Danio rerio: one gene and its partners. The protein of the gene in region 1 interacts with the protein of each later gene in a pairwise test. Links are inferred from orthologs where the notes say so. Each region holds a gene or a part of one and is shown on either strand. Other genes may lie near its edges.

Region 1 (3,766 bases):
TATTATATTATATTATATTATATTAAATTGACATAATATGATTAATATAATATAATTTATTATATTATATTATATTATATTATATTATATTATATTATATTATATTAATTTTATTTATTAAATTATATTATATTATAATAAATTTATTAAATTATATTATATTATATTAAATTAAATTACATTAAATTAATATAATATGATATAATTAACATAATATAATATAATAAAATTAATTTAACATAATTTAGTATATTATATTTCATTACATTATATTATATTATATTATATTATATTATATTATATTATATTATATTATATTATATTTATTATATTATTTTATATTATATTATATTATATTATATTATATTATATTATATTATATTATATTATATTATATTATATTATATTTATTATATTATATTATATTATATTATATTATATTTAATTAAATTAATATAATATAATATAATATAATTAATATAATAGAATATAATAGAATTAATTTAACATAATTTAATATATTATATTACATTACATTATATAATATTATATTATATTATATTATATTATATTATATTATATTATATTATATTTATTATATTATATTATATTAATTATATTATATTATATTATATTATATTATATTATATTATATTATATTATATTATATTAAATTGACATAATATGATTAATATAATATAATTTATTATATTATATTATATTATATTATATTATATTATATTATATTATATTATATTATATTATATTAATTTTATTTATTAAATTATATTATATTATAATAAATTTATTAAATTATATTATATTATATTAAATTAAATTACATTAAATTAATATAATATGATATAATTAACATAATATAATATAATAAAATTAATTTAACATAATTTAGTATATTATATTACATTACATTATATAATATTATATTATATTATATTATATTATATTATATTATATTATATTATATTATATTATATTTATTATATTATATTATATTATTTTATATTATATTATATTATATTATATTATATTATATTATATTATATTATATTTATTATTATATATTATATTATATTTAATTAAATTAATATAATATAATATAATTAATATAATAGAATATAATAGAATTAATTTAACATAATTTAATATATTATATTACATTACATTATATAATATTATATTATATTATATTATATTATATTATATTTATTATATTAATTATTTTATATTATATTATATTATATTATATTATATTATATTATATTATATTATATTAAATTGACATAATATGATTAATATAATATAATTTATTATATTATATTATATTATATTATATTATATTATATTATATTATATTATATTATATTATATTATATTATATTATATTATATTATATTATATTAAAGCACAAATTTAAAATAATAAAATAAAATAATAATAAAATATATGATATATGCAATATCATATCCGTAGCATTTTAACAAACAAGTGGACAAATACATATCCTATAACATTTATCCTTTTTCATAAACATCTACAATAATTACGTGTACATATTAAGCAAAAGTTCAAATATATCATATTTCAATTAAGTATATTCAGCAAGTGATCATATTCATGAACCATGCTATTTCAACAATGACACCAAACAACAGCAGCCCTTTTCCAAATAGTACTGAAAATATACTATTGAAATAAATGTAGGGAACAAATAACTTATTACAGTACATCCTAATAATAATCTCATATAATAACAAATAGAACTCACAATAATGCTTATGAATAGAACACAAAGCAGGTGAAGCGTAAGTGTTGTTTTCTAAATATACTCAATAAATACAGGATGACTTTCTTTTAAATGAGCTGAATCAACACAATTCTTGAGGTTTTATTTTTAACTAACTTAAATTTGTTAAAACTAATAAGGTAACTTAATTCCTTCATGTTGTCCCAATGCAAATTGATTGTATGGAAGCCAGTGTTTAGGCACAATGCTTCAATATAATGTCAGAGCACTTCTCACGTCAAATAAAACACCCAGACGCAAATATAAAAAGAACAACAACAAAAATCAGGCTTACCCCAGTGACCCGGCTCTTTCCTCATAAACTCTTGATGCAAAAATAAAACACACCCTTACAAGCCGTTTGCATGTTCCCAGCATCTAAACATTCCCAGCTCCAACACTCGAGGGTTAAAGAAATGCAACGGGGCCACCAGCAGATCAGCATTTCATCAACTAGGGGGCGATAAAAACTGCAGAAAACTCCCTTCTGAGGGCCTCAAAATACAACAAACGTTCAATAATGAATTAAAACATCAGATCATCGATATAATGTTCTCATTACATAACCACGCAATTAATAATCGAGTCTATGAACGTCTATAAATGTGTGTGGAAGATTTGCACAGATTAATAAGCCCCCCCTAGTTTTGCACAATGCCTCTTTTGTGAGTGGAAAAACAGATTATCAGGTCAAGTGACCGGAGTTGTGGGCGTCTGGATCTCACAATCATAACGGTTCCGGTAAAAACGCTGGCAATTCATGAAGCATCACAGGCTGTGAGTATTGCTGCTTACTTCTTATGCATGCAGTGTGCAAATGAGCAATGCACTGCACTAAAAGCTACTTCGATTTTTTTTGTCTTGATTTTAGTCCAAATATTTAAATATTCTCAAATCAGGAAGCATTTTGTTGTTTGAAGAAATAATGTAGCAAAATTAAGTGAGTTTTTCACTTAAAACAAGCTAAATAATCTGCCATTGGGGTAATATATCATGTGTCAAAAGGAAAAACTAGATTATTTTGCTCGTTTCAACTTCATTCGGCTTAATATTTCCTTAATCAAGACTTGCTTGTGCAGAAATGGTTCTTGATTTAAGAATGTTTTTGATATTATAAAAAAACTGCATTTTGTTGCAGAGTAGAGAGGATTTGCATGCAATATGTTTCTGTTTTCATTCTGCTTTTACCAGCATTTTCATTTAACTAGCGATCGGTGTGATTTTGTGTAAATGAGCTCACATGTATGCGTTTATTTGATTTATAATCGTATATATTGGCTGAAAGTGTCGGGTTAGTTACTTAAATTCATCACTAATTACATCGTTGAAATTACATTTGTATAACTTTTGTAATTGCGTTGTCTAAAAAGTAATTCAATTATTTGGAAAAATAAATGGAGATACATCTAATAATGATTGAATAAAATAATTAAATAATGATTTAATAAAATAATCTAATGATGATTTGATCATTTAATTTAATAAATATTTAATAAAATAATTTAATAATGATTTAATTAAATAATTATTGAATAAAATAATCTAATAATGATTTAATAATTTAATCTAATAAGAATTTAATAAAGTAATTTAATAATGATTTAATAAAATTATTTATTTTATTGTTATTAATATGATTTAATAGTTAAATCTTAAATCATTTAATAACCAAATCTAATAAGTGTTTAATAAATGTAATAATTATTCACCGATTTAATTAAATAATGATTTAATAAAATAATCTAATGATGATTTAATAATTTAATCTAAGTATTTAATAAAGTAATTTAATAATGATTTAATTAAATAATGATTTAATAAAGTAATTTAATGATTTAATAAAATGATTTATTTAATTATTAATAATATGATTTAATAATTAAATCTAAAAATAATTTTATAACCTAATTTAATAAGTATTTAATCAATTTAATAATTATTTAATGATTTGATTAAATATTG
Region 2 (3,766 bases), on another chromosome or scaffold:
AGTATGTAAATAAAGTACTGAGAATAATTCTTGAACACTGGCATACTGTAAATTAAGCCACATTGACTGTGCTGCCTTCAGTTTCATTCCTTGCTACCAAACAGTCTTGTTCCAGTAAATAGACAACACTCACATGCAAGAACAACAACACCATCTTTACCTTTGAATTGAAAATGACTGCGCCGACAATATAACACACGTTCTTCCTCAGTGTGACTGGGTCCACTTGTTCAGCGACTGAATCAAACTCGAGACCCTCACCCCTCAAAATCTTCTCCAAGTTCTCCTCCAGAATCGATGACTGCGAGTCCATGGCGGAGCTGCTTTAATTTGACAACAGAATGGAATTAATATCATCGTCAAATAAAGAGGCTGCCAAGAAGAGTCAGTTTTATTACAGTAAAAATACACTAGCCGGCCACTTTATTAAGTACACCTGTCAAAACTGCTGGTTAATGCAAATTTCTAATCAGCCGATCACATGGCAGCAACTCACTGCACTTAGGCATGTAGACATGGTCAAGACGATCTGCTGCAGCTCAAACCGAGCATCAGAATGAGGAAGAAAGCTGATTTAAGTGACTTTGAATGTGGCATGGTTGTTTATGCCAGACGGGCTGGTCTGAGTATTTCAGAAACTGCTGATTTACTGGGATTTTCACACACAACCATCTCTAGAGTTTACAAAGAATGGTCCGAAAAAGAGAAAAAGTCCAGTGAGCGGCAGTTCTGGGACGCAAATGCCTTGTTTACATCAGCAGTCAGAGGAGAATGGCCAGACTTGTTCCAGCTGATAGAAAGGCAACAGTTTAGTTTATTTATTTATTTAGTTTATTTATTTATATAGCACATTTTGTACAACACAACGTTGCCCAAAGTGCTGAACACAATCAATACTAAAAATAAAATCTACATCACACACATAGCAATTAAAACATAAGGCAAACCCCTCAACATTAAAAAGGCTCAAATACTAGAGAACAAAGATGGCGTTTCAAATGCTTTTTAAAAACAGGTAGAGTTGGAGCATGTCTGATGTGGGAAGGAAGCCCGTTCCAGAGTTTTGGGGCGACAACAGCAAAAGCCCGATCCCCACTCCGCTTACACCGGGACCTTGGTATAGATAGAATAAATTCATCAGAAGACCTCAGTTACCTACCAGGATTGTATACATGTAGCAGGTCTAATAAGTAAGATGGTGCCAGATCAATCCGTGACCTAACAGGCAGCCAGCCCAGAAAGGAAAGAACTGGGGATATGTGTGCAAACTTGCGAGTCCCTGTCAGAAGTCTCGCAGCCGCATTTTGTACTAATTGCAATCTATTTAGGGCATTTTGACTAATACCCACATACAGGGAATTGCAATAGTCAAGTCTTCCCAAAATAAAAGCATGGATCACCTCCTCAAGGTCATTAAAAATTAAAAGAAACGACTTTACTTTTGCCACAAGTCGTAAATGGAAAAAACTGGATTTAACAATTGTATTTAATTGCTTGTTAAATTTCAGATCATTGTCGAATTGAAATCCTAGGTTTCTAACAACAGGTTTTTGATAAGTGGAAAGCTCACCAAAACCTGATAAATGCAGAGGGATAGGATCGCCAAACCCGACCAGCTCAGTTTTGAAAAGTAACTCAAATAACCACTCGTTACAACAGAGGTATGCAGAAAAGCATCTCTGAACGCACAACACGTCCAACCTTGAGGCGAATGGGCTACAGCAGCAGAAGACCACACCAGGTGCCACTCCAGTCAGCTGAGAACAGGAAACTGAGGCTACAATTCGCACAGGCTCACCAAAATGGGACAATAGAAGATTGGAAAAATGTTGCCTGGTCTGATGAGTCTTGATTTCTGCTGCGTTATTCTGATGGTAGGGTCAGAATTTTGCTTCAACAACATGAAGGCATGGAGTTCTATACTATACTTATGGCAGGATAACGCACCATGCCATAAAGCGTGAATCACCTCAGACTGGTCTCTTGAACATGACAATATGTTCACTGTACTCAAATGGCCTCCACAGTCATTAGATCTCAATCCACTAGAGCACCTTTGGGATGTGGTGGCACAGGAGATTCACATCATGGATGTGCAGCTGACAAATCTGCAGCAACTGCATGATGCTATCATGTCAATATGGAGCAAAATCTCGGAGGAATATTTCTAATATAAATCTATGCCACGAAGGATTATAGCAGTTCACAAGGGCATCCAACCTGGTAGCCAACTAGTAAGGTGTACCTAATAAAGTGGCCGGTGAGTGTGTGTGTCTGTAGTTAAATCCTTGTAAAAACAAATCAATGCAATGCTATAGATTAACCACAACATTTGTAGTAACATTGTGGTAGTTAAATAAAAAAATGGTGGGTTATGCAACAAGAAATAATTGTTATTATATTTACTACAATTAAACCATGGCAATGTCATGACAAAGTTCCACAGAAGACGTATCTAATTATTTAATCTATTTATGAGTGTAACGTACAGCACAATGCCCCCCCCTACATTTGATTATTACACGACATTAAAGTAACATTGTGTTTGTACGCAAAATGACCTAAAGCAAAATAAATATGACGTAAGGTTACATAGTCTGAGATGACAAAGCATTATTACGAATAACTACTTAATACAACAACATTAAATTAAAACATCAATGTTTACTAACCCAGGTTGTCATAAAACAGACGCATGTAGACTCAAAACATCTCCTTCTTGTCTCGCGATAACACCTCTTTCGCGAGAACACTCATCTAGGGGTCATGTCAAATTCCCTTTTTTTTTTTTTTTTTTTGCAGTCTCGCTTTATTATTTTAGTTTTTTAATGTATTTGCTTCCTTGATGACAAATAATAGATTAATGTTAGTTACCTATAATTAAATAATAGCTTTTACAAAGAGAACAAGCTGTAGTTTAATTTCGTTTGAGGACTAGATAAATGTAGCTGCCAATTTTTAGACTATCCCTTACCTACAAGCTACAATGGCCATGTCCCAATACACAACTCTAGCGATCTTTACACTCGACTACGTCTACTTTCATGACAAACGTCCCATATTTGTTACCCTGTACTATAAAACAAGAAACTATTAAAGGCAGGTTTTGGTAATTAAGATTTATACATCACATTAATGATATCCCGACTTGGTCAGTTGGCATTTCTGTTTGGAGATGCATGTTCTCCCTGAGTGAGGGTTTCCTTAGGGTGCTCGGGTTTCCCCCACAGTCCAAAGACATGCACCGTATAGTATAGTATATATATATATATATATATATATATATATATATATATATATATATATATATATATATATATATATATATATATATATATATAGATATATATAGTGTATGTGTAAGAGTGTATGGGTGTTTACCAGTACTGGGTTGTGGCTGGAAGGGCATATGCTGTGTAAAACATATACTGAATAGGTTGAGGGTTCATTCCGCTGTGGTAACCCCTGGTGAATAAAGGACTGCTGAAATCAAATTAATGAATGAATTAAATCGGAATAACTACACTTTCTATTACCAACTAAGCTTACCAAGCTTACAATAAAATAAAAAATATAGAGAAACTCGCCTTTAAAGTTTTCTAGTGTTTAGCGATGCAAATTTTGTTTACAATGTAATATTTAGAAAATATCCTAATGGTCCTTACTCAATACAATGATTTTGGCATAAGAGAAAATTCAATTCTTTTGACCTACATGCATTTTTGGCTTTTGCCAAAATGATACTTGCACCAGGGTCACATTTGGG
Region 3 (3,766 bases), on another chromosome or scaffold:
AGGTAAATTTACACTGCCATTTCATTGCTGTTGTTGTCAGGTATTATAAATTGAGTTTATGACATCTGCAGTTCATTTTCTACTCAAAATGACATTCACACTCAAACAATAGAGAAACTGTGATAGGAAATCAACTATTTACATGTTTTCAAGAAAAGCGAGCATAAAAAAAAATCTAATTTTACTTAATTCCACACATACAATTCATTGTTTAACAAATTTTGGAGCGCAAAAACTCAAAAAAGAAACTACATTTTACATAGTCATTTTTCAGCATACAAGACTTCTGATATGCTTCAAAATTCAACTTAAAACTTTCTACGTAAAACATGAGAATTTTATCAAAATGTTGACAGTTTGTTTACCATATTTGATTGACTCTAAATATGCATGTCCGTCAGTATTAAAATATGACAACCAATCAAAATGGGTTCATCATATAAAACAATAACTTCTCTTCAAAAGCACTGGATTTAAGAGCCTGATAAATTTAGAGTGCTAATGAACAGGCATGGGCTGGTGTAAGATTCTGGTGGTATGATAATCTTGGATAAAACATCACGGTTTCACAGTATAGTGATCACTGCTCTAAAATATATTCTTTTTAAATGTCTGGGTAAAAAACAAAAACTTTTCCCCCTCTGAACACAATACATCATTTTATTTTAAGAAATATTTAAAATATTTTGGAACTGTAAACATGTCAGGCTAAATTCAAATGGATCATTGGCTGTGTCCGAAATGTGTCTATACTTCTATATCATAAATTACGCTAAAACAGTATGAGACCGGACCAGTGTGTCCAAATTCATAGAATTCAAAAAACAGTATATGCGAGAATTGTGCATTCGATACACACTGTGCTATCTCATAATGCCCTGTGGGAGAATTTTTGAATGAGAGTGAAGCGACGCAACTTATACAGGTAGGTCACGTAATCATGACAAAATGGAGTATGTAGTACATCCGAGTTCCATTCATACTGTACAGAATATACTTTTTAAACAGCAGATTTAGTAGTACATTTAAATTCAAATGCAGTATCTACTGAGTAGTAGGCGATTTCGGAGGCAGCCATTGACTTCTGCTGTATTCCTTTTTTATAGTTATTTTTTAGGGTTTTTTCACTTTTATTTGAAAGGACAGTAAAGTTTGCAGACAGGAAAGTATTGGGAGCAGAGGGGAAGGGTCAGCAAAGGACCTTGAGCCAGGAATTGAACTCGGGTCGACATGAGCACCATGGTGCAATGTCAGCACACTTCACCACTAGGCTATTGGCACGGACAGACTTCTGCTTTACTCGTTAGTTTCAAAAACACAGATTTCTTTACGAATCAAAAGAGCATCTTCGAAAAAAAAAATGTTTTAAAAAAATCTTATATAATATATCTTAAATGGTATAGCAGAATATTTTGGCAGTTTCAAAACCTTTTCTGAACCACAGTTTACCTTGAAAACGGTTATCGTGCCAGATCTACTTATGAATTTCATAAATTGTCAGTTTTTATTAGATGGACTTTCAGTGAAGGGATCTGTCAAATTTATTTTCAATTCAAAGATGAATGGAAATGTTGGTTTGAATGACATGAGGGTGAGTAAACGATTGCCACATTTTAATTTTTAAGTTAAATGACTCTTTACACAAACACTTCTGTCTACATTAAATAAAGGAACAAACCTCTTCACACTCAGAGCTCTATGTCACAACACACCACACAACATCATTTGAGAGAAGTACATTTAAATAAATGGCAAAAAATATATATATATATTTATTTATTTCACAATGTGGGTGAGATTACCATTTTTGGTGACATTTTTTGACATTTTGTTATGACAGAAACTGGTGGAGATTTCCGAGTGGTTCTGGGCTTACGTGAAGACAGGTAGAGGTAGCTAGTTTACTATCACTACGATTCACGTGACAGCACAGAACTTCTTAAATGACTACATGTGTCTCACAGAAGTGAAAACATACGTAATGAGTCAACTGTGCTGCAAATATGACTAAACTTATTGTTTCAAGAGCTTATTCCAAATGATAGAAACTCCACATTTGCTTAATGAAAGAAAAACGATGAGCAACATATTCGAGAAAAACAGGCCGCATCACCTGACATCTAGTATTTACTTCCAAGACAACAAACTGACACAAATAATTATCTATTTAAAAGAACAGTTCATCCAAATTGAAGAAATTCCTTCGTTGTTCAAGTTGCTTCAATGTCATATGATGTTTTTTATCTCGGTGGAATACAAAAGGAGATGTTAAACGTCATGACAGCGTCGGTCACAGTTCAGTTTTAGTATATGAACTAAGATATAATGACAGCGAACGGTGGTTTAAGTATATCAAAATATATTATGGCCAAAAAAACAACAAAGACACACAGGCTTGAAAAAACATTCGGGAATACAGGCCGTTTCCCATTTCCGCCTGCTCCGTTAAACTCATCCAGCGACAGTGTCAGCTAACTTCAGCTAGCCGCTTCAAGGTGTGGTCGGATCTCTGGAAAACTGTGTTTTTTATGCTAACCAACATCTATATTAACCCAATGCACAGTAACTAAATAATATTATACATATAACGATACAGACTCAAATACGCTACTCCAGCCGAAGAGCAGGAGTTTGTTTGGGCTGCTCGAAGTGAGCTAGCCGGTTAGCTGGCCTTTACTGTTTAATATAAAACCACACTAACTAACAATAACCACGATGATCGGAGACGCTTTAACTTGTACAGTCGCGACAAAAGTATTACGTACTTACCTTTAAACAAGTAGTCGTATTCGTCGTCTCGTGTCCCCATCTCGATCAAAACAAAAGCGCAAACAATGGAAGAATGTGAAGGAAAGTGGAGGCGACCCGTCGCTGTCCTCTCCGCTGCGGCACTGCAGTCTGTCTGTGATTAGGCAGTAGCCATGCTAACGGCTTAGCGAGCAGGCGAACCAGAGAACATCTCCTCAAGTGTTCCGGGTGAGGGCCCTTACAGACTGTCAAAATAAAAGCAGGATTATTTATTATTTTTATTCATTGTGTATTATTTCTGTTCACCAAGGGCATTTTATATAATGAAGTATAAGACATATGTTTTTGTAAGGAACCACCGTCTCAATTGAGCCAATTTATTATGGAGCCAGATCAGTCTCAAAAATAATACATTTACAAAATATGATTCATATATTCACAAAACAATACACATTTACAAAATCCAATTTGTATGTTCTAAACACAATTCGTAAATACATAAATCCAATTCATAAAATTAAAAACACAGTTCATAAATAGAAATCAAATTCACAAATTCAAAACACAATTTATAAATGCACAAATTCAATTATTAAATTCAAAACATGATTCATAAATGCACAAATCCAGCTCGTAAGTTCAAAACATGATTCATAAATACACAAATCCAGTTAGTAAGTTCAAAACATGATTAATAATTGCACAAATCCAATTTGTAAGTTCAACACACAATTCATAAATACACAAATCGATTCCTAAGTTCAAAACACGATTCATATATACACAAATCCAATTCATTTGGCGAAAATATTAGGATGTTTACTTGTAAAATCACAAATTGTGTGTAAATCCAAATTGGATTTTGTAAATGTGAATTGTGCTATGCATGTATGAATCCTATTTTGTAAATGTATTTTTAGACTGATCTGACTCCATAATTTATACTATAAAGAGAGAAAAATATTTGGTTTCATTTAAGTTACATTGTAACACGCTTATTTGCTTATTTGCTTATTTG

The links. The genes of interacting proteins can lie anywhere in the genome.
Region 2: the proteins of rab3il1 (region 1) and nudt18 interact in binary tests that used the Homo sapiens proteins (3 or more experiments, as listed by UniProt). The two-hybrid records come from large-scale screens. The link is inferred for Danio rerio from reciprocal best matches to the Homo sapiens genes RAB3IL1 and NUDT18.
Region 3: the proteins of rab3il1 (region 1) and rab11a interact in a two-hybrid assay, tested with the Homo sapiens proteins (2 studies listed by BioGRID and IntAct). The two-hybrid records come from large-scale screens. The link is inferred for Danio rerio from reciprocal best matches to the Homo sapiens genes RAB3IL1 and RAB11A.

Annotation. Positions count from the first base shown.
Region 1 is NC_133200.1:3,665,757-3,669,522, reverse strand, and holds the start of rab3il1 (guanine nucleotide exchange factor for Rab-3A), read right to left. Parts: upstream 2,225-3,766; 5' UTR 2,100-2,224; intron 1-2,099. UniProt on the Homo sapiens protein: Guanine nucleotide exchange factor (GEF) which may activate RAB3A, a GTPase that regulates synaptic vesicle exocytosis. Promotes the exchange of GDP to GTP, converting inactive GDP-bound Rab proteins into their active GTP-bound form.
Region 2 is NC_133183.1:55,665,731-55,669,496, reverse strand, and holds the start of nudt18 (8-oxo-dGDP phosphatase NUDT18), read right to left. Parts: upstream 2,725-3,766; 5' UTR 2,673-2,724; intron 324-2,672; 5' UTR 314-323; coding exon 161-313; intron 1-160. UniProt on the Homo sapiens protein: Mediates the hydrolysis of oxidized nucleoside diphosphate derivatives. Hydrolyzes 8-oxo-7,8-dihydroguanine (8-oxo-Gua)-containing deoxyribo- and ribonucleoside diphosphates to the monophosphates. Hydrolyzes 8-oxo-dGDP and 8-oxo-GDP with the same efficiencies.
Region 3 is NC_133193.1:20,516,628-20,520,393, reverse strand, and holds the start of rab11a (ras-related protein Rab-11A), read right to left. Parts: upstream 2,930-3,766; 5' UTR 2,810-2,929; coding exon 2,770-2,809; intron 1-2,769. UniProt on the Homo sapiens protein: The small GTPases Rab are key regulators of intracellular membrane trafficking, from the formation of transport vesicles to their fusion with membranes.